2 linked regions of the Daphnia pulex genome follow. The protein of the gene in region 1 purifies or fractionates together with the protein of each later gene. This does not show direct contact. Links are inferred from orthologs where the notes say so. Each region holds a gene or a part of one and is shown in the gene's direction. Other genes may lie near its edges. The genes, in order: retinoblastoma-like protein 1 and transcription factor Dp-1-like.

Evidence for each region.
Region 2: the proteins of retinoblastoma-like protein 1 (region 1) and transcription factor Dp-1-like purify together in Drosophila melanogaster (affinity purification with western blotting; 4 studies listed by BioGRID, with this or other methods). This does not show direct contact. The link is inferred for Daphnia pulex from reciprocal best matches to the Drosophila melanogaster genes Rbf and Dp.

What each region holds. Positions count from the first base shown.
Region 1 is NC_060018.1:8,627,478-8,638,998, reverse strand, and holds retinoblastoma-like protein 1, read left to right. Parts: upstream 1-4,333; 5' UTR 4,334-4,571; coding exon 4,572-4,712; intron 4,713-4,900; coding exon 4,901-6,260; intron 6,261-6,325; coding exon 6,326-6,462; intron 6,463-6,523; coding exon 6,524-6,848; intron 6,849-6,905; coding exon 6,906-7,180; intron 7,181-7,252; coding exon 7,253-7,432; intron 7,433-7,515; coding exon 7,516-7,989; intron 7,990-8,059; coding exon 8,060-8,395; 3' UTR 8,396-9,024; downstream 9,025-11,521. Other genes in the region: kxDL motif-containing protein CG10681-like, read right to left, coding at 3,200-3,261, 3,339-3,538, 3,622-3,767; sodium/bile acid cotransporter-like, read right to left, coding at 9,680-10,225, 10,379-10,411, 10,488-10,675, 10,816-10,987, 11,249-11,384, 11,487-11,521.
Region 2 is NC_060023.1:5,714,021-5,725,378, forward strand, and holds transcription factor Dp-1-like, read left to right. Parts: upstream 1-4,894; 5' UTR 4,895-5,126; intron 5,127-5,186; exon of another isoform or gene 5,187-5,441; 5' UTR 5,442-5,596; coding exon 5,597-5,654; intron 5,655-5,731; coding exon 5,732-5,829; intron 5,830-5,896; coding exon 5,897-6,198; intron 6,199-6,257; coding exon 6,258-6,420; intron 6,421-6,480; coding exon 6,481-6,711; intron 6,712-6,773; coding exon 6,774-7,025; intron 7,026-7,084; coding exon 7,085-7,321; 3' UTR 7,322-7,914; downstream 7,915-11,358. Other genes in the region: WD repeat-containing protein 44-like, read left to right, coding at 1,015-1,142, 1,230-1,540; F-box/SPRY domain-containing protein 1-like, read right to left, coding at 3,046-3,231, 3,290-3,421, 3,485-3,582, 3,653-3,891, 4,012-4,115; mitochondrial import inner membrane translocase subunit TIM14-like, read right to left, coding at 9,117-9,335, 9,422-9,550, 9,626-9,628; dnaJ homolog subfamily C member 3-like, read left to right, coding at 9,843-9,933, 10,012-10,322, 10,389-10,532, 10,598-10,779, 10,866-11,016, 11,075-11,287, 11,355-11,358. UniProt on the Drosophila melanogaster protein: Component of the DREAM complex, a multiprotein complex that can both act as a transcription activator or repressor depending on the context. In follicle cells, the complex plays a central role in the site-specific DNA replication at the chorion loci.

The sequences.
Region 1 (11,521 bases):
AGAGTGCTGCTACAACCACTGCCGATGATGCCTTTCCATCCATGCAGTGAAGAACACAGACATTTTTAGTGTCGCGGTCAAGGTAATTATACATGCTCTTACACAAAGCATATCTGAAAATTGCAAAAAAAAAATTCTTCAGAAGTTGTCTACAACAGGATAAATACTGAATATGTACAAAGTTCTCAATGAAGGAGCTTGTCGCTGGGGCCAACCACAACAAATCAAGTTGTTGAACTTGGTGGATGCATACGAACGTCCTGAAACATTGTAGACTGCATAGTGAGATCCATGGCGAGTGTCTAGAGCATTTCGCACATCGTCAATGTGGTGACGATAGGCTGACTCAATTCCTTCAGCTGGAAATGAGGTAACAATCAATCGCGATGTAACGTAGCTAAGATCAAGCTCTGACCGTGCCATGCTTTGCTGCACTGTTTGCATGACTTTAGTCGATGTATCCTAGAAAAAGTATGTAGATTTTCATACTTAAATATTTAAAAAAAGATGAAAATTCTACCTTCAAGTTTTTAAAAAGGCTCCCCGCTCCTCCTTTCAAGGATGATAATAATCCCATCGTAGGTTGAGAAGATGTCGTTGAATGCATAGATGGAGCAGGGTGAGTTGCGATATGGTGTAGCTGATTAGCTATTGGATTTGGTGGTGGAGGTCGACGAGGTGGCTGAGGTGATGACTGGGTAACGACAGATGCACTTGGGCGGGCAGAAGGCGGTGGCATGGCTGATTGACTGGGCAAATTCACCTTAAGTCCACATTTCATTTGGTATCCTCGCGTTTCTCCAATGGCTGCTAGACGATCAAGTACCTCACTTATAGTTAACCGTGCACGTGGATCAACCTGAGGGGGGAACAGAATATATTATATTTCTTTTAAAATACTTGCAAATCATTATAAAATACTTTTAGCATTCCACGGATAATGTCATGGAAGATGTCGTATCGACCGTCATTGCTAGGCAACGAAAAGTTGCCATTAATGATTCGTAATTTGGCTCCATCTTCAAAAGGGTGCGTCTAATGATAAAATATTTATCTTAAACTATCGCTGCACCAGGAAAATAGTGTGCTTAACCTGATAGCATAGAACATAAAGTACACATCCTAAAGCCCATATGTCTGCCGCGGTCGTGATAGGATAATTGCTCCAAGTATCAATCATCTCAGGAGCACGGTATACTGGTGTAGTATGTTTAGCCATCTCTTCTTCAAGCAAACCCCGTTGAGATGCCGTCCAATCAGGGCCAGGAAAATGTCTATAAAATATATTCTATTATTAGAACAAGAAAAAAAAGCTAATAGCATAACTAATCAATGGTAATTCAGGATGAAGAAACAGTACTAAGGAAGGAAGATAAAAATGACCAGAAAACAGTAAATGGTGAACAAAACTTACTGCTGGGTTGTAGCACTCCCAAAGTCACACAATTTGATAACACCATCAGCAGTGAGGAGCAAATTTTCAATTTTAAGATCTCTATGGATTATAGGTTGTTCCAGGGTGTGAAGGGCTTGAACAGCTTTACATGTTTGCCAAAATACTGAACTAACTTCTTCTGGTGTTAATGGAGAGTTTCGTACTCTCAATGCATCAAACAAGGCTCCTCCTGTAAATATAACCAATACAAAATATACATACATATATTTTTTATTGGTAAAAGAAACTGTACTGATACCTGAACAAAGTTCAGTGACCACTAAATATTCTTTTGAACCTCCTCCTCTATCATTACAGCAGGCAGAAATAAAATTGATCACATGAGGATGACCAGCTAGTTTTTTCTGAAAAAATGATGTAATAAAACTAAGGACTTTGAATGCATGTTATTTGAAACAATCTAATATCAAATTACCAAAAATGCTACTTCCTGTATAATGCTTTTGACAGCATCGGTATCAGCTGCAATGAGTCTCTATTAAATTGAATAATCAGATACATATTATAATAGTACATGTTAAATTTAATTCTATGGTCTTGTTTCTATATTACTTTCAAAGCGTAATCTTGATTGCTCTGTACATCTTGGGCAATAAAAACAAAAGCATATCCACCTAAGATTGGCCATAAGTTGTAAATAGTTAATTCATATGAAACGTGTAACAACGAAATCACCTTCTCCAATTTGACGTTTTATCCGAAGCTGCACCGAATTGACATTGACCATAGCTCCAATGAGAGGATTCTCAGAAGCGCCATTGTTACTTGCTGTAAAATAGTTAGCAGCTGACTTTAAAAAATCGGCCATTTAGAGGATGAGGAGGTTGAATAAAAAACTGAAAAAGAAAAAGCACGAAACCACGAAACAGGTCAACTGGAATTGTTAATTAAGTGTAAACGTGTTTTCAACAATTGAATACTTGCAATTTATTTTTGACAGCTAAACAGCGTTGCTGCCTGCCTGCGAATTCGTCTTCTCGTCAGACTCTAGCGGCAGACTCACGACCGCCCTTCCCGCAAGGCCGCAACTCACCCAGTGATAAAGCTTGGAATTATTGGTTATTACCCTTCCTTTCAGACACGCGCTTATACTGATGATATCTGAAACCATTGTTTTAAAAAATTTAGCATATCCTTTTATATTTCGTAGTTTCGTAGTTGTAATAATTCTTCTCACAACATTTTTGCTAATAAAATAACAGTATAATATGGCCTAGCTTTTTTTATGGAACTTTATGACATTAAAAATGTTTATTTTTCTATCTCCTGCCGATCTATATTTATTCTTATTATTCTACTAATTACAAATAATTCCATTGACATTAAAATCGTTTGCCGTTTTGGGTTCCATAACATACATAGGCCTAATTTCAGAAAATAACATTCAAATTTGTTTGAGAGCTACAAAAATATCATTCGAAACAGAGAGCCGCATCATTGGTACATTAAAGAGTATAACATTTACGAAACCTCTGTTAAGACTAGAATACATAAAATTCGACAAAAATAATCCCTAGCCTTAGTGTTTCATTTTTATCTTAGGAAAGTAGCCTACACGTATATAGGCTCCGATGCGCAATACTATGATTTTCAACAGCACCTTTTCCGGCTGTAAATATATGCACAAACTATCAAAACTGACGATGTTATATTTTTTAAATAATGACTGATTGAAGTCTTCAATTATATTTCTAACATTTAAACACAAAATCATGAGTGCAAGCCATTTTCAAGTAGTGTAGATTATACATCCTTTGTTTTTTCATCCTCCTCTGCTATGGGTGTTTGAATTTTACTTACAGCATCTGTTTATCAAAACAATTATTTTGGATAAGCTTAAAAAAAAATAATTAAAAAATGTATGTATGCAGTATGAACTAGCCTTCAAATTGATGTGGGTATTGAGATGCTGCTTTGGCTTTCATGATTTTGATTCTCTTGAAGATATTCTCCAAGTCCTTTTTTACTTCATTCAAAAGCTGTGCATGCTTCTTGAATTCTACATTAGCCTTTTGAAGGTGAACTTGGGACAGAGTATTACAGTTGACTAGCATTTCATTTGTCTTTTCAAACCGTTGAAGCCTATACAAAGTCAAAGTAAGAAAATGATAAATTTAAGTATAGTGTGAATAGTATGGAGTTTACTTGAACTTCTCCAAAATTACATTTGTTTCTGTGCCCGAATTATGTGATCAATGTCATGTTGGTTAGTGAACCCTGCAAGACCTTGAACAAAAACTTCAGCAGGAGTGAAATTTGAAAAACACTCGAAACCTAGTTCACTTTCATGCATTGACAAGTAATTCTCCATTGCCTGCACAAAATTAAAGTAAGAATATGATCACAGAAAGGTTCAGCTTTGAATAACCCAATAATGTTACAATAATCAAACAATAAAATTCTTAAATCGTTCTTAATCCATTCAAACGCGCTCATCTATTTTACCTAACCATCAAGTCATCAATATTAGTCAAAAAAAGAAGCTAGACAGTGCTAGAGGCTAGAACCTAGACAGCAGTGACAGTCAGAAAGAGCAGACAGACAAACAATTAAACCAAATTAAAATTATTATTATTCATTAAAATAGCCAAGGCCTGGGAATATTGTACACAAAACGTGTTCGGTGAAGGCATCTAGCGGATGCTACATTACTAAGATTTTCAATAGACAGAAAATTTCCAACCGTATCCATTATTAAAATCAGAACATGAATTAATTTTAATTTTAATTCCTTGCATCTTCGTAATCGTTCAGTTCGTATCTATGTGATTTATATGGCTAATTAAAAACTGTCTGGCCTTTTTATGTATGTCTCCATACAGCTGATTTCATTTCGCGCCAAATATTGGTTGTGGTCCCCACCCCAGATCTTATTCACCGCTAGAGGCTCTGTTCAGCAAGAGGGCGCAAGGGCCAGTCTGGAGAAAAACTGGGAATTCCCGCCACGAATCGCCGAGTGTAAGCTTTGTGTGGGTTTTTTCTACGTCTGATACAGTGGGCTGCAGTTTGTGTTACTTGTGATCTCCGGTTTTGCGTCCGATGTAGCTGGTTTCCGTTATTAATAAGCATAGCTACTCTACTGATTTAATAGTTACTGGCTTATTGACTACTCGAAATGGGTCTGTCTGAAGATGCCGACCAAGAAAACACTGAGGAGAGGTTTCGCGGCCTTTGTGCCGATCTCAACATTGACAAAAACACAGCCGATGAAGCCTGGCGAAACTATGAAACTCTTTCCACCAACTACACTCTTGAGGTAAATCTGCAATGCAGAGTTAAGAGATTAACTTGTTACTGGTCTGTTATCAGTTATTGTCATTGTCTGGTGGGTTGTGTCAGACAAATTACACCATTTACAAGCTTAGCAGTAATTACAATGCTGTTGACGGCAGATTTGTTCCTAGTTTCCCCATGGTCTAATCTGTTTTCTTTTTCTTTTGTTAGGGTGATCGAATCCATTGGCTATGTTGCGCCTTGTATGTTGCTTGCCGAAACAGCACTGTTCCAACTGTGGGACAAGTTGGAACAGTAGAGGGAAACTGTGTTAGTCTTACTCAACTCAGACGAAAATGCAACATCAGCATGCTAGATTTCTTTGACAAATCGAGGAAATGGGCAGACATGGCAAACCTGTCTGAAGAACTACGTCGCAAGTTTGTTAGCTTGGAACGTAACTTTGAAGTCTGCTCTGTGATTTTCAAGAAGTATGATGAGATGTTCAAAGAAATCTTCCAAGATCCGCTTAACGACCCTCCTAGACAGCCACGTTCTCGGAAGTCACGCAAACTTCCTTGCTCTGCAAAAGATGTTTACGACTTTTGCTGGGCTTTCTTCGTACGCATTAAGACTAATTTCTCACAGATCCACGAAGAGCTAGTCAGCTGCTTTCATTTGCTACTAGCTTGTCTTGATTACATCTACGGAAATTCTCTTGTTGCCAATCGCCGAGAACTCTTCAACCCTCAATTTCCTGGTCTGCCTAGCGACTTCCACAGTCGTGATTACAAAGCCCCTACTGAACCTGGCTGCATCGTTGAGTGTCTTTACTCAAGAAACAGCAGCCAGGACGAAAAAACCGTTGTTGACGTCAAGCGAATCAAAACGCATGTTCTCAGACCTTACGTGAAAAGCCTCATCGAAAAAGAGGTACTGAAGGGTGACAAAAGGACTCTATGCGGAATTCTTGACACATCTGTCTTTGACTTAAACAAGAAAGTGGTCAACAATGACTATGAGGATTACGTGCATCGTGTCGGCGATTTCGACGAGCGTATTTTCTCCAGTCCTGATGCTCTAACAGAGATAGGAACCCCGGTGAAAGCCACTTTCAACAGTATAGCTTCTTTCGAAGAACAAAAGCTGATGGTCTACCCAGCCCGCCGCAATTTGCAATCACAATTCGATGGTTCACATCACCTGGCGCTGGCCACGCCTTTGACCGGTCGAAATTTCCTCAAAGCCAAAGAACCTGGATCGGTAACGCCCGTATCGACAGCCACTCAAAGTGTCAGCCGGCTGCAGGCTCTGGTCTCCGGTCGTCAAACGGGACCTAGCGAGGAGCTCAGACGTATTTTCAGTGAGTGTTCTAACAATCCAGGGGAGAGTATTCAAGCCAGGGTTAAGGAAATGGGCGAGAAATTCTGCGCTCACTATGTCAATCAGGCCGATGAAGGGCGCACTAATGGTTTCAGTATGGATATGGCTCGCAAACGTCTGCAGTTAGGAGAAAGCCTGTACTACAAGGTTTTGGAAAAAATCATCATCGACGAACGCAGACGTCTCAAGGCAGGCACAGATCTATCAGGTACTAAATCTGAATTTTATTTTCATTTCATGTTTCACATTGTATTACTCTTTTTTTTTTGTCAGGAATTCTACAACAAGATATGCTTCATCAGCTTTTGATCACTTGTTGCCTAGAGATTGTTCTGTTCTCTTACAACTCCCAGCGCACATTCCCATGGATCTTGGAAGTCTTTCCTATTCAACCTTTCTACTTTTATAAGGTACTTAACATTATTGCCGTCATTATCATGCTCATTCAAAAGAAATCTTGGTCGGTTATAGGTAATTGAAGTACTCATTCGGGCTGAAGATTTATCTCGCGACGTAGTAAAGCACCTAAATCACATGGAAGAGCAAATTCTCGAATCTATGGCATGGCGTTACCAAAGTCCCTTGTGGGAATACTTAAAGAGCTGCGATCAACCCATTCCTTCTTGTGAAGAAGTTTCGCTACCAAGCCAACTTCTGCCACCAACCCCTTCTGCTCCGCAGACTCCGGCTGTCGTCCAGTCATCAGATCCAGTCAGAAACACTCCGCAGCAGCCAATACCTTATTCGCCATCGACTTACGTCACCAATAAGAGAGCGGAATCTAGTCTTGCTGCCTGTAAGTACAATATATTATCAAACTTTGATCTTGAAATTGAATGTTGCTTGTTACTAGCTCTTCTGCAATCACCCGTGTCATCGGTGGCGTCAGTAAATGAACGTACGCCAGCCCAATCGTCAAGGAGGAAATTGTTTCCCGGGCCTGAAACAGTTCCGCCAAGTCCCTCTAATACAGCGGCTACTCCTGCTTCTGTTGGCAATGCAATAAAGGCTTCTTCCAAACTGGAATTAAATGATCAGAAAATGGAACTTCTGCCCAGTCCCAGTGTGGTAACAACGGCTGACAATAAACCTAAGAGAACGGGATCCCTGAGTCTATTTTTTAGAAAGGTTTGTAGACTTCTAATGGCTGTTAATATTGCGAGATAATTCAACAAACTATTTTAATCTTTTTTGTTGCAGTTTTATCATTTGGCATCCGTTCGGCTACAAGACTTGTGCAATCGTCTCGAGTTGTATGAAGAAGACTTGCGTAAGAAGATCTGGACATGTTTCGAGTTTTCGGTGATGAAGCATAGCGATTTAATGCAAGATCGTCACCTTGATCAAATTTTGATGTGTGCAGTCTACGTAATTTGTAAGGTTAGTTGAATTCTGGTGCTATTCTCTAAAGGGAGATTAAATTAGATTTTAAGACTTGGGTTTTAATTATTTTACTTGTTTAGGTAACTGGTAGAGACAAGAACTTTACCGATATTATGCGCTGCTATCGAACACAACCCCATGCTTCGAGTCACGTATATCGCAGTGTTTTGCTATGCACCAAAGCACGCCGTGGATCTGCTTCGTCTACCTCAGGTTCGGCGTCATCAGTAACCGGAGGTAATCATCCTTCGACCACTCCAAGTCCTTCTCCCAGCGAAGAAGACGATGAAGCAGCTACTGGGTCTACTGTTAAAGTTAACGGTGACGAAAAGAAAGCTGAAACCAATGGAGAGAAGGCACTTCCACCAGTTCGTTCTTCGTCGACATTGCCTTTCCCTCAGCCTTCGTCCTGTCCACCTACCCCGACAGGTTTAGCTGGCACCTCATCCAGCTTCGAGTACGAAGATCGAGGAGATTTGATTCTATTCTACAACACGGTCTACGTTCGTCGACTTCAGGCCTTTGCTCTTAAATTCTCAAACAGGAACCGTCTGGTAGTGCATTTTAATCATTCTTTATTGCTAAATATCAAGTGACTAAATTTTTGTTTTATTCCCTATATAGGAGTCATTGCCCTTGTCGCCTTTGCCTTTACAGCGCCCAGTTCCTGTTTCTCCGCGTCGAAAAGTGTCTGCAAAGCATACGGTCTTTATTAGTCCGCTTAAAGGCAATGTCATCTCTCATTCGCCGCTGCCTATGCGTTATAGCTTTAATCGTAGCCCGTCGAAAGATCTTCAGGCCATCAATGCCTTTTTACGCGAAGAGCGTCCGACGAAACGCCTGCTCTCCTACGAGATTGGTCCACGAGACGCAGCCGACGCTGCTATGGCTCCACCTCCGCCCAAATTCGCCATGACAGTCGAAAACGCCGGTGCGGCGCGCAAGATCTCTTTTCATTGAAGGACATGTCATTGACACTTAGCTGCAACCTATTTCGCTTGATTTTTCTGACCCTTCTCCCTCGTCATCTGGCTTTGATTCCCCCCTGCGTTCCTTTTCCCCTTCGTTTTCACTTTTCTTTATCTCAACTCATGCATCTGAACAGATTAACACTACTTTCCTTTTTCTGGTTCATCCTCCCTCAACAAAATAAGAGAGGTAACCAACCTCCCAAACTATTTGGTCTTGACCATTCTTCTTTTAATTTTTCCCCAATTTTTTGTTATTCTCAACCTTATTAGTAGAATCACAAAATAGGTTTTTTTCTGATTTTTTTTTCTGATTTTTTTTTCTCTTTGTTTAATTGATTGTGGAATTTGTATTGTCATGTTGGCTATGGGTCGGTGTTGAATGTTAATGGAATGGTTTGTGTTGCTTGACTTGAATCATATGGAAGTGAGATATCGGTGATGAGTACGAACGTTGAAGTAGCCGCATCAACCATCTTGGGGAAATTGCAACGTTTTTTTTTTCTAGTTTCACAATCACTATTTCAGTTTTGAGATTTTTCCCATGAGACTTTTGAGTAAAAGAATGTGTAGTAACTTTGTTTGGAGCATAATTACAAACATATGGCTTTCAATATTTCACATCTGTATGTAATCTTATTATTCATTTACAGGACCTCTACTGGTTAAGGGCAATTATTTGTTTGTAGTGCAGATGAGTGTGTTAAAATATCAACGATAATAGTGTACAGATGAGAAAACAAAACATTTCCAAGCAAGCGCTTGGAAGGGGAATATTAAACAGGTGAACCATAATCATTAAAATGTTTCGATTAGGAAAGTATTTGCAATCGGATCGTCACCGAGTCTGACAATTTGATTTCAAAATGTTGCGAGTGTTTCTGCCGTTGCGTCAATGAATAATTCTGTTTGAACAACTTTTACTGATTGCGCCCGCTGACTATCTGTGCGTCGTTGGTATTGTAGATCACACGACTTTAATTGACCAATGACTGACTTTCAATGCTCAGCTGGATTTGATATCTAATTTAAGATAGTAATGAGGGAAAACAGACTTAAATTTGTGTGTATTTTGTTCAAGCGCGTGGGCTGTTTTTTGTCGTTTTACACAGTTACTCACTTGTCATGGGTAAATTTTATTCGGGTAATAAAGAAAAATAAAATAAAAAGGCAGATGGGTAACGCAAGGCAAGATTTCAACGAGACAAGTCTTCATTTTCTATAACAAAACATTATTTATTTATTTATTTATTTTTTGGCTATATATATGGTGTCATCAAGCGATAATTCTCGGATCGATGGTTGGCGAACTAGGCACAATGAGACTTGGTCGTTTTGCCCATGAAAACTCGGGAGTAACTTGTCCACCGTAGTATTGTGGAGGTGGCGTTTCGACTTTTTTGGCATTTCCATTGCTGCCATCAGTGTAATCTTTTAGCATCAAGGACTTTGTGGTTTCTTCTTCCTCTTCGACCTTTTCTTCCTTTTTCTTGCAGCCACGGTTCTTAACGCATCTGTATGCCATGATGATGCCGAAAAAGATGAACAGGATTGAAGTTGTCATCAAAATTTGAGCAATCGCCGGCAGGGCAGCAATGTCGCTGTACGGAGTTGGAAGAGTCGTCTTGAGGAGAACAAAGGCTATATTGGCATTTTGCATGGCTGTCTCTAATGACACAGCGATAATTTGTGGTCGACCGAGTCGCGTTATCCAAGCGAAAAAGGCTCCAAACACGAAGCCGGCAACCGTGACCGCCAGACCGGCGGTCAGTAAAGTCCAGTCCAGGAGAATGAAGATATGGGACATGCTGTAGAAACCCAGCTGTCAATAGCCAAAAATGAACTTTGATCAGGCATTTTTAGATTTTGATGCCGTTATCTTTTACATTGCGTCAGGTCACAGTAAGAGTAATGCATTAAATCGAATTTTTTTAACGCAACAATCAATTATCCTTAAAAGTAAAGAATGACTTACCCCAAAAATGAAAAATATGAAGAAGAAGGAGAACTAGAAAAACAAAAAAAATGAAAACTGTATTAAATTTAATTCGCCCCCCCCCCCCCAAAAAAAATTAACTACTCACCGGTTTGATGATTTTTACGGTGAGAAATTCGGCAACAGAAAGCTTAAATCGACGAATCAAAAGTCCAATTCCGAGTGGAACGGTTAGCAATATTAGCGACACGGCCATGTCCAGGAAAGGCACCTGCACGGACGATCCCGGCGGCAGGAAAAATGGAGACAAAAGCCACAACCATAACGGCATCATCCCTGCAAAAGAAAACATAATTTTACGAAATTCAGCCTAATGGAAGGCGATGTAATTAACAATAATTTGTTACAAATTTATTCGTCGTTAAAAGTGTTTATCGATTTTGCTGTGTCTATCAAATGAATGGTTTAATACTGACCCATGGCAGCGATGGAAGAAACGAAGGTCATGGTAATGCTAAGATTAACATCACCATCTAAAAGCAGCGTCCAAAAATTGGAGGCTATACCGCCAGGACAGACGCCGATTACCAACAGTCCGAAACCCATCAAAGGATCCTTAATCATCAGCATGGCAATGCCGAAGGCAAACTTAAAAAAACAAAAAAAAAGACAAACGCATCAGCAATAATTTAATTGATTTCCCCTTATTTTGACATGGAAATAAATATACGTCATCAAATTGGTCAGTAGAATTTCGAAACCTATTAACGTAGTTGTGTACGCACATGATATCGGATCTAAGGTACGCAATCGTTAAAACGTAATCCAGATCAACAAAAATCAAACACAGATTTCTTCATTGTGTGCTTTGTATTTTGTTGACTAAGTCAAATGATTCAATACACTCACCAGTGGCATGAAAGTAAATTGAGAGATGAAGCCGACAATTGGTCCAACCGGGCGAAGAATATTTTGTTTCACAATGGCCATATCCAGGGCACATCCCATGTTAATTGTGTTGAGTACCGCCATAATAATCATAATTCTGCGGAATATAAAATCTTTAGAAATTATTTGTATTAAGGCCGGCGCATTCTAAATACTTGCAAGAAAAAAAATTCCACAACAACAACACAAAAAGACTTACATGGTGAAAACATTGTCCAAAGTATCACTTTCCCG
Region 2 (11,358 bases), on another chromosome or scaffold:
ATCAGGCCCTTGTAGGAGAATGTCTTCTTCCAATTTCCACACATCCCGACCTCGTTGTTCGGTGTCTTTGAGAAATTTGACGTTTGATCTCAGACGATCTGTATCAAACTTTAAATAACATTCAATGCGTATGGCCTCCGGATGCAACTCCAAAAATATCTCGCTAAAATTTGATCGGCCGCCTTTGTTGTTCCACCAAATACGATTTCGACCAGACTCCGGTGCCAGTGAAGTCAAATAAACACCCGATCCGTTAACATAAGCCGTTTTGGCATTGGACTGTATAACTTTGCCGTCCTTGAGAATTTTCCTGAGGTTGTCGTAGTTTGTGTAGTGGTACAAATACTGAGGCGGAGATTCCACGCTCGGCGTGGAAGTACTTGGTCCAGATGGCTCCTATTGTTGAATGATCCAAAAGTTTAATTAATTACCAAGACTTGAATAAATTAGCATAACATTTCTATAGTTAAAAAAAACTCATCTATTCCACAGTTAATAGTTATCTCACTTTCAATCGCTGTAGCTTATCTTCTCTAGTTTTCTTATCAAACAGTCGTGACACGGAACGCTGAAATATGTGTCAACGTTGCCAAATTCTTTCATTTTAATTCGTACCGCTAAGTTCGTTTCTCCAGGGGTATGGACTATGGAGTCTCTCCATACCCATGGTCTCTCTAAGCCCATGGTTTAAGCCGGACGACACGCTAATGATAAATTATTTTCAGCGGATTTTACTTTCTCTAGAATGTTACATTACACCGTAGGTCTATCCGTCTATGGACTATGATTGTATAACATTCTTTGGTATGCATCCCTATTGACTAGTGCGTATGACGTCATAAATCGTCAATTCGAAGGGGGGGGGGGGGTCCGTAAAGATTTTTAATAAATTATGACATCCTAGACACACTGGACAAAATGAGCCCTAAATTACGCTTCAGTTTCTTTTCTTTTCTTTTTATTTTCCGAAATGAAATGAATTTAATCATTTTCTATGTTGTAATTGAATTTTAGTCACGATGGCAAGTACATCATTAGCGGTTCAGAGAATCAGTACATTTACATGTGGAAGACACATCATGATTACGCCAAATTCTCTTCGGCTCGTCGAGATCGCAACGATTATTGGGAAGCCATCAAAGGTACTATTACCTAATCACTACCATTTTCTTGTAAATTAATTCTCTTTCAAATTGAATAATCGACTTTTCTGCATCTATTTACGACAGCGCACAATGCAGTGGTGACATCGGCCGTTTTCGCACCTGATTCGCATTCACTGATTGAGCAAATGGAGCGACATCGAAGAGAGAAGGAAGAGGAAAAAGCTTCCTCGTTATCAGGAGATGCGTTGATGGGTCGGCGATTAGCGGGATCGGCGACAGCCGATGGAGCGAAACCAAACTCAAATGTGGAAGGAGGAGCCTCTTCCGGCAACGGCTACGTTCTTGTCAGCGCGGATTTCAACGGCTGCATTAAAGTGTTCGTCAATCGAGTCAAACCGAAGCATAGTTCTTTGCCCGTTTCTGCAATGTCCTAAAAAGAGAAAAATAGTCGAACGGCTTGGAAAATTTCAATCGACAATGTAGTCGTTCTTCTCAGTCGACGTGACGACAACAGATAAATATGGTTCAGTTTGGAAATTATGAAATTATCGCGCAACCCAAAGAAACTATATAATAATTTAGCATGCCCATTCATTTATGGCAATGAATACACGCCTCCGATTATCGAGTGCGTGATTATTTAATTCAGAAAACTCTTCCTGTTTGAACCGCTCTTCATTTTTGACGCTAGATGGTAGAGGCATTCAATGTTGTCCTTTCTTGCGGATTGCCATTGGGCAGCGCAACAGAATTCCCGTCACAAGGATTTTTTTTTTTTTTTGGTCGAAAGTAAATCGACGGAAAACGTGTTTTGTTGGTCACACAATAGAATATCCAATCCACCTACCTTAGGGTTTGGAACCCCTAAGGCGATGTACAAATAGAAATTGAAAATGGGGAGGAAATGACCAGCTGTCTTTGCTTGTGAATCGAATAGAACTGAAAATTCCGGTGGTACATGACACTTACACTTCGCTTTATGAGGTTGATGAAGGTCAACGTACACAATAAACCATAAAAGAGGGGACGAAACTTTCTTTGATTTTGACCTATTTTTGGAATGATATTGCTTTTGCGCTTTGATTAATTCAACATGCGAAAAACCATTAAAGCCTTTACTCGATCGTCGTTCGATTTGATGAGCGTAATGGAAATACAGTTAAACAAACTTTTTTGTTTGACCTTCAAGACAGTTTTTGACCAATATGTTGCTAGAAATCTAGGATCCAAGTGCCCATCAGTACATTTCTCAGTTAGAAGCGTTAGAAGAGAAAAAATCACACATGAAGTAGTAATGAGGCTAGAAAAAACCTAAACGATCGAATCCATTCGTATACGATGGTAAATGTAGGAGTACTTAGAAAACCTGATTCCTTACTCATTGGTTAACACCTTTAAGTGTTTGAATAATGCTTATTTATAAAATTAAATAAAGGCAGTGTAGACAAGTCATTTTTCATTTATTCGAGTAATTAAACACGAATTAGATTTTTTTATTCAAAACGCCAAACTTTGGGCAGTAAGAGGTTCAGTTATTCTTTAGCATCATCACCAGTCCCAAGTCATACAAACATACACAGGGAAATTTTAAGTTATACAAATCTATTTCGCAAGTAGCAGTCAGACCGGACGATTAACCATTTGTTGGTTTTCGGTTGAACGTGAAAACACAACCACACGAAATTTGAATTGTAACACACTACAATAATCTGACACACACCAGGGAAATCATGAAAAAAAAAAAAATAATAAATAAATGAAGAATGGGAAAATACGGGAATGTTTTAAGTCAGAGCGGTATTCCCAACGCAACCTTTGTACACTGAATTTTGGGATTCTTTTACAACAACATCCTTTCTTGGTTGGCAAAACGCATTTGCCTGTAGAAATTGATTCACACAAAGAAATTTTCTGTTTAGGAGAGGGGGACAGGCGACAGTTAGCCATCCAAGGGAGGACCCAGGTAGACCATTGAGACTTCTGTGTGCCCATAGACTGCCGACACCGAAGGGTATAAGAGCTTCTCTGGTAAGCCCCTAAACGCCACTCCGAGGAATTCATAGTTTCTTTCGAAAGCTAATGTATTGTCATCACAGTCAAGAATGACTCGTATCCGCTCCCCAACCTGCAACAAAACTTTAGGTTAGGTTGATTCAACTCATTCATTGGTTAGACTCAATCACTTGGTATTTAGGTGCATTGTTCAGCATTGGGTAATTGCCTTGGGAATCTCCATTATGAAGTAAATGATTATCAACCAAATTCCAACCCCAACTTTGGTCATCTGATCCTAGTAAAGCTATGTATCCATGTGTCTGTGAACATGGATTTTGACAATTATTTTTAGATAAAATATTCAAATTTTAACACAATTATACCTGGAGAGTTGCTTCTTTAGTTGCAATTCCAACAACTGCAACTGTTCCAAGAGGACCTTCCCACATCACTTCCCAGGCATGCCTACCTTGACTGAATCCTGCACAAACATTAGTTGAATGGATTAATATGTACACTTGCAACAGGCATCTACAATATTTAGTACTCACCAATTTTACCTCTCACAGCATCTGTACTCTGTGCAACAGGGTTTCTGTGTATGGTAAAACCATTGGGTTTGATATAAATGTTTCTAGAGCAGTCTTCTGGGTTCCAAGCATGGTGAAATGCTTTTAATTTTGTTTTGTAGGTAGGAGCGGAAGATAGGAGGTCTGAGCTCAGGACTTCTTCTGCCAGTTTTCGTATGCAGTGCAGTCTCCAGACATCATTGTCCTCATCATTCAGTATACTGATTCAAATAATAATGTGCAAGGAGAACATAAGTTTCAAACAATCGCTGGTTTTGTTAGCAACGGTAGATCACTAGCGAATAGTCACAAACTGGTGTTGATTTCAAGAAAACTTGTACCTGTACCACCGTTTGCACACCAACGAACTGCTTCTTAAATCCTGCAGCGGCAAATATGAGAAAATATTTCCTAGTATAATATCTGGTAGTATATCCACGTGCATTCTAAACGCCGGCTCGCAAACACTTCAACATTCATTTAGGAAATTTCTTTCGATTTTTTCTGCAATTGACAATACTTCTATGGCAGAACCGGTGTTGCCACATTGCCATAGCAATTGATCTGAAATAAGAAAACCGAACAAAAATTATGAGAATCTAAACAACTTGATAAAACACTGAATTACACCTGTGAAAAAACGATATATTAATATCAAACTACTTTTTTACTAGTTTTTAAGATAAAATAATATTTTAGTTTATGTTTGAAATGGTTCCCGCGTATCCGGAAAAGCAGACGACGTTTGATTTTACTTAGCCTTCTGATTTATGATTTCATTCATATTCATGCTCGATTTCAATAAAAATTTAACGCTTTTCCCATGAAATTAATCAAATTAGCACTTAGTTATTACGATACATTTATTACGATAACTGTATTAACAGCCAAATTAAAAAAATAGACCAATTTAAAAGAGCGAAATAAAAAAAATATATTTCAGAAATTAATAAAATAAAATAACGAAATCGCTGAACACTTGCCTGCGCTTAATTAATTTCCTCTTTCTCCTTCATGTTTTAGCGCTACTTAGTATTTTACATGAATATTTGAAAAAGAGAAAAGGAGAAATTAAACGAGCAAGGAAAATCGAAAATCATTTGTTCATATTTTTGTTCTCACCCAACGACCCAAGGTCACGAGTTTGTTTGAATTTCGAATTTCTGCCCGTTGAAAGTATCGATTTTTTTTTCATTGCAAATTGCGATAGATAGAAAGCGAACTCATGGAGAAGTTAGAATTGAATTGAATCCCAGTCTCATATGACGTACATATAAGACGCTCACTCAGTAAACCCCCCGGACGAAAAAATAAAGAAAAAAAAAATATAATAAAAACTAAGCCGTTGGCCTGCTGTGCCATCATCACCCCCTCGTGCATTTTTGCCTAGCTGCCTGCTGATGCTACAGCAGTGTGTGTCTAGTGACGATCGTATAAAGTTGGCCCAGAACCTTAGGTAAACCCTATTGTCTCTTTTGTTTTGGATTGAGGGGATTTTTATTTTTTATTCATAAAGTGAATTAGATAATAAAGGAGGATACTATTTGTCATTGAGCTTGGAAAGTTTAAGTGAAGATGTCTGCAAAAATCTTAAAATAAGGGGGAAAACTTACCGGTGTGGGGTATCGACTGGTGATGGCGTTTTGGGCGCCATTTCGCTCATCGTGTTCTGAAATCATTTGGAGGAATAAATACGGGGAATTTCCATTTTAGTCTATTTAGATTCTATCATAGTTCTATATGAAATTTGATGATATCTGTAATTTGACAGGAAGTTCGAATTATAACGGCGCTCAGTTGATCATACTTTTGGTCCCACCCACCAAAGATGCTTGTTTGACAAAACATTGTCAGCACATTGGATCTTCCTTGATCTCTTCTCTTTACAGTTAAATAATATAAATAAATTTACAAGAGGTTAAGGAGATGGCACAGTCAACCCCAACTGGAAACATCACCAACATTTGGATCCAAGATGCAAATGGTATGTCAAAGTCTAGACTAAGAAATTATCTCATTCTTTTCAACAAGATAATAAAATGATGGTTGTTTGCATTCCAGGTCAGCCACAAATGATAAAAGTGGTGCATGCCACTGCTGGAAAAGGTGTTCCAGTGTCCATGGCTTCTGGAGCAGTTAGAGCTGTTCTGCGATCTAATGTAAGTCAAGGATGTGCTTGAATAAAATGTAAAAGATGTTAACAATGTTGGCTGAAAATTTGTTTAGGGAACCGTTTTGGCTGCCACACCTCAGATGTTGCAGTCACTTGGCAGAGTGACAAGAGCACCTGGACCTCGTGGACAAGTGGCAGCTGGACAGATACTAGCCATACCATTATCATCAGGAAATGGATCTACTCCGAGTAACAAAAACACTGCTGTACAGTTACCAGTAGTGCCTGTTGTGTTGAGCACTCCTCAACGCTTAAATCAGCAACAACAACAGGGCAAAAACTTCATTTCCCCAATTCTTGATCACAGTGGTTCACGAAAAAGGCAAGATCCTGACCATGAACATGGTTCTGAGAGGTAACTTTTCATTTTATTTTTCAAATGAGTAGTTTTATGAGTAAACTCATTTTTAATAGTAAACGGCGTAAGGTAGACAAAGGAGGCAAAGGATTACGTCATTTCTCGATGAAGGTGTGTGAAAAGGTTCAGAAGAAGGGTACTACAACATACAATGAGGTTGCTGATGAACTTGTAGCTGAATTCACTGATCCATCTCGTTGCACTTCACCTGCTGACCAAGTTAGTATCGTATTAGAAATTCATCTTTTTATCAGTGAAATAATGTTAATTTATTGACAGTATGACCAAAAAAATATTCGGCGTCGGGTTTACGATGCACTGAATGTGCTCATGGCCATGAACATCATATCGAAAGAGAAAAAAGAGATCAAGTGGCTTGGTTTACCTACAAATTCGTTGCAAGAATTCCAGGCACTGGAAGCGGAGAAGCAACGTCGGCTAGAAAGAATTAAGCAAAAGACGCAACAATTGCAAGAATTGGTCCTTCAGCAGATCGCCTTCAAGAGCTTGGTTGTTAATGTTTTTTCTAGTAAAACAGAAACATTTTACTGACACGTCTTGTTTACCTTTAGGTTCAAAGAAACAAGCAAAATGAGCGTCTTCACGGTGGCCCTGCCAGTAATTCTACCATACAGCTACCATTTTTGGTCGTAAATACTAGCAAGAAAACAGTGATTGACTGCTCCATATCTAGCGATAAGATGGAGTATCTCTTCACCTTTGATGATACTTTCGAAATTCATGATGATATTGAAGTCCTTAAGCGAATGGGCATGGCCCTTGGGCTTAACGAGGCCACTTGTACTGAAGAGAATCTCGCCAAGGTATTTTTGTTCTTTTATTTTTAAAGTTTATCTTAATTTTTAAATTTTTCTCGTTTTAGGCCAAGTCTTATGTTCCAAAAGCGTTGGAACATTATGTAGATCAGTTGGCTAGCGGTCAGGCCGAGCCACAGTGGCCAGAGGACGTCAATCCTGTGGTTAAGGAAACCTCAGATCACTTTGGAAATCAAGGTGTTCGAGCAGTTACACCTACAGCGTCGGTCTCAACAGGTTTCTCAGACTCCGAGGATGACGATGTGGATGACGATGAAGACAACTCCGACGTGGAAATCAATTAAAGGGTGTGGTTCTACTGATGCGTTGTCTCATTGCGTCCATTTCTACTGTCGCTTTACATGCGGCTGTCCTCGCTGATTGGATGCATTTCTCTTCGCTTGTTCTCGGTTCAGTGTTTACCCTTTCCTTAGAACCTCCTTTTCAATGTCGCCAATTTAAGCCAAGTGAGAGTATCCATCGATGATTTTCGTGGGAATCTGAACCGCGTGTGTGTGTCTATTAAGATGACGGAGTGAGCTCTTGTCGGTATAGGAGACCGCATCGACAACTGGAAACATTGAAAACTCAGGTGATGAATATTTGCAAAAGTGCCTGTCGATGTATTTTCGAGTAGAAGTGAGGTTTCATTGTCGATAACAGTTTTCTTCGTTCATTTTTGTTTACCGTCGTACAAAAACAATGTCGTTCGTTATTTTCGTCTCTTAGTGTTCATATCTTGTTCATCCATCTCGTTGACACGAGCATGTCCGGGTGCATCAATAGTCTTTGCTGGCTATAAACTATTCCATTTCACTTTGCCCTATGATGGGTATTTATTGCAAACTTCACAACTGTATTACCTTACATTTCATGAGTACACATTACAAAAAAAGAATAAGAATAGTAGCAGTTAAGTTGTTATTCATTCTTACAAGAGATCATCATCATCACACAAGTCTACAAATCCTATGAAAAGAAAAATTTTCTTATTACTGAATACTTTGTAAACATGAGATTTTATCAAACCATTGTAAAAATCACCATGGACAGCCTTCTCATTTGATGTCAAATCAACAATCATTCCAGAGGGACCAGCAGATTGCTAAATTAACATTGATATAAACTTATTAGATATCTTAAAATGGCAAGTAACAGCTAAATTAGAATATAAAAGGAAAAAAGTTGGTATTATTAACATCGTGTTCAATTAATTGCTGTTTTTCCAAAAAAATTTGTATCTTTGTCTAGGATCTTTGTAATGCTATCAAATGATTTTCAGATGACATGTTTGAATATATTTTGGAATTGTAATATTTAACAAATGATTTGAATGGGAAATCAGTTTACTATACATCTAGACTAGATTTTTAAAATCAATTGATTAATGCTTACCTCATCTAGGTCCATGTAGCTGCCAGCACCTATGTATGTAAAAAAAATCCATAAAAATATTGGCTGTGGTAATCATCATGTTAATCACGATGGTGAATGGTGGACTACTAACCTTCAGGAAACATTTCATCAACAACTACATTTGGCTTCATTTTAATCACCGTGAAGTATAAACTTTAACTGACTGTAGTTAATTAACAAATGAGCCTTATTTGAAAACACTATTGGTGTTTCCTCAACAATTCTTAAGACTCTTGAGTTGGAGAAAGAATCCAAGAGCGACAGGACAATAATGTTGAAAAACGTATTTTCGTCTGTTAACTGCTAAGAAAAGATGGAACAATGTTGCCAAATCAAACGGTACCGATTTATAGCCTCGGGCATTTGGTATCTCCCCGTGGGCCCGTTTTGTTTCTCTTTATGTGTTCCTAGTGAAATGTAATATTTTAATTTTTGTTTTCTACATCTTTATGAGTATGTTGGAAAAAGTTGTAAAATATACTAGCTGAATCAATCATAGTAATTTTACCTGAACAGCAAACAAACTACATTCATCCTCCAAATTGCAAATTGTCTAAATGAATAATAATTGATTATACAAAACATACAATTATTGAAGCTGTTGACTCTTTTATTTGAACAAATGTTACTAAAGTTAGATTATTTACAATGAAATCTATAGTTCTCCCCTGCACAAAAGATGTTTTATTTCAAATTATCCATGAAATCTTTTGCTTCATTTATCTTAGCTGCTAAATATGGTGAGCCACCTCTATCTGGGTGATTTGCAAGCATTATTCTTTTATGGGCTTCTTTCACTCTGATTTTGTTGGCTGTTGGTGATACACCAAGTATTAAAGATGCTTCTCTTTTGGACATTTTGGCATCAAAACCACCTTTGTAGTACTTGCTTCCAAGAAGAGACTACAAAAAATATTTGAAAAAATGATAATAAGAACATTACCATAAGTAGAAAAATATCAACATTTACAATTAATTCTATCTAATACCTCAGTATCCATAGGAAACTGCTTGAGTATTTCGTTAAACTTCGTCGTCATTGTGGGAGCAGATCGAAGCAGTGTGCGACCAGCAAATCCGACAGCAGCCAGTCCAAGACCAACAACTATCGCTGTTGACTGAATTACATAGTAGACATTAATAGCAAAACTTTAGTTTCACTATACACAATAAAATTTACTTTGAAATATTACCATTTTTTCGTTCGGAGGACAAGAGGTTTCGTCACGTTTTTGTAATGTTGTCTGCTCTGTTACTCAATATCTACCCACGAGCTTGAAATTCTAAACAACAGATGGCTTTGTTTGTCACGTAATGTCTTCTGATTGGGCCACATCACAGACGATTATTCTATTATCAGTCTGAAGTGATCCTTGTGGCTTCTTAAAGCTCTTAAGTTTAAAAAATAGAATGATAACTTTAAAAATGGCTGATTGGGGCCCACATTCAAGACAAATGTATTCAATCTTAATTTGTCTCGTTAGCATCGGAATCATCGAAGGTACAAGCCGGTTTCTTCAACTCATGTAAATTGTCCTTGTGATTCAAACGTCTTATGTATTTATTTTTCATTATACAGTTCACGGAAACGCCAATCCCTCGGAAATTGAAAAGCATTTAGAGCTTGGTAAATTAATGATGGCTAAGGGCCAACTCCAAGATGCACTCACCCATTTCCATGCAGCTCTAGAAGGAGATCCTTCTAACTACTTAACATTATACAGAAGAGCTACTGTATATCTTGCCCAGGGAAGAGCAAGAGCTGCATTAGAAGATTTGAATCGTGTTCTTGAAATCCAACCAGATTTCATTCAAGCCAGAGCTCAGAAGGGAAATATCCTAATGAAGCTTGGGCGTTTGCATGAGGCACATATTGAGTTGGAAAAAGTTGTAAGTATACATGTTATTATGGTCAAGTTAATTAAAAAATATTTCCTATATGTCTATCTTTCACAGCTTAAAAAGGAACCAACAAATAGTGAAGTCAACAAAAATTACATAGCAATTGAATCATTGAAGAAGAGTTACATGCAAGCTCAAATGTTTTTCAGTGACAAGGATTACCACCATGCCATTGATCTCTTAACCCAAGTTATTGATGTATGTTTTTATAAACTTTCTTGCAAATGATTTCTTGCTACTATGCTAACATTTTCTTTCTTTAGATTTGCCCTTGGGATATTGGTTTGCGAGAGATGCGCTCAGAGTGTTATCTAGCTATTGGAGAGGCATCAAAGGCTATTTCAGATTTAAAAGCAGCTACCAAATTGATGTCCGATAATACCGGCGCTTTCATGAAGCTTTCTAAACTGTATTATGGCTTAGGAGAACCAGAAGAGTCTCTAAAGTAATTATTCTTGTGTTTTTTGTTTTGTTCTGCATAATATTGTCAATATGATACAAGTTGCTTACCTTAAATTATTTTTTCTACAGCCAAGTTAGGGAATGTTTGAAACTTGATCCTGAACACAAGGAGTGCTTTCCTCATTACAAGAAAGTCAAGAAAGTGGCAAAGCTTGTGCAGGATCTGCAAACTAACTCTAATGACAACAACTACCAAGGATGCATCACTTCAGCTAAAAAAGTATTTTCCTTTGAATTATTAAATTCCACAATAAATAACAATGTAACCATTCATATAGGTCCTGAAAGTGGATCCCACCGTATCAGAATTATTATTTTTGGCTGAAGATAAACTTTGCCATTGCCATCTTCAACTAGGTGAACACTCGGAAAGTCTCGAGTTCTGCTCTTCAGCTTTAGCTCGGCACACAGAGCCGAGGATATTGTGCGACAGAGCTGAAGATTACATTGCTCTTGATATGCTCGACGAGGCTCAACAAGATTATGCTAAGGTAAATTATTAATTAACATATTGATATATTGATGTCTTGGATTAATCATCAAGCACCTTATCTTTAGGCAT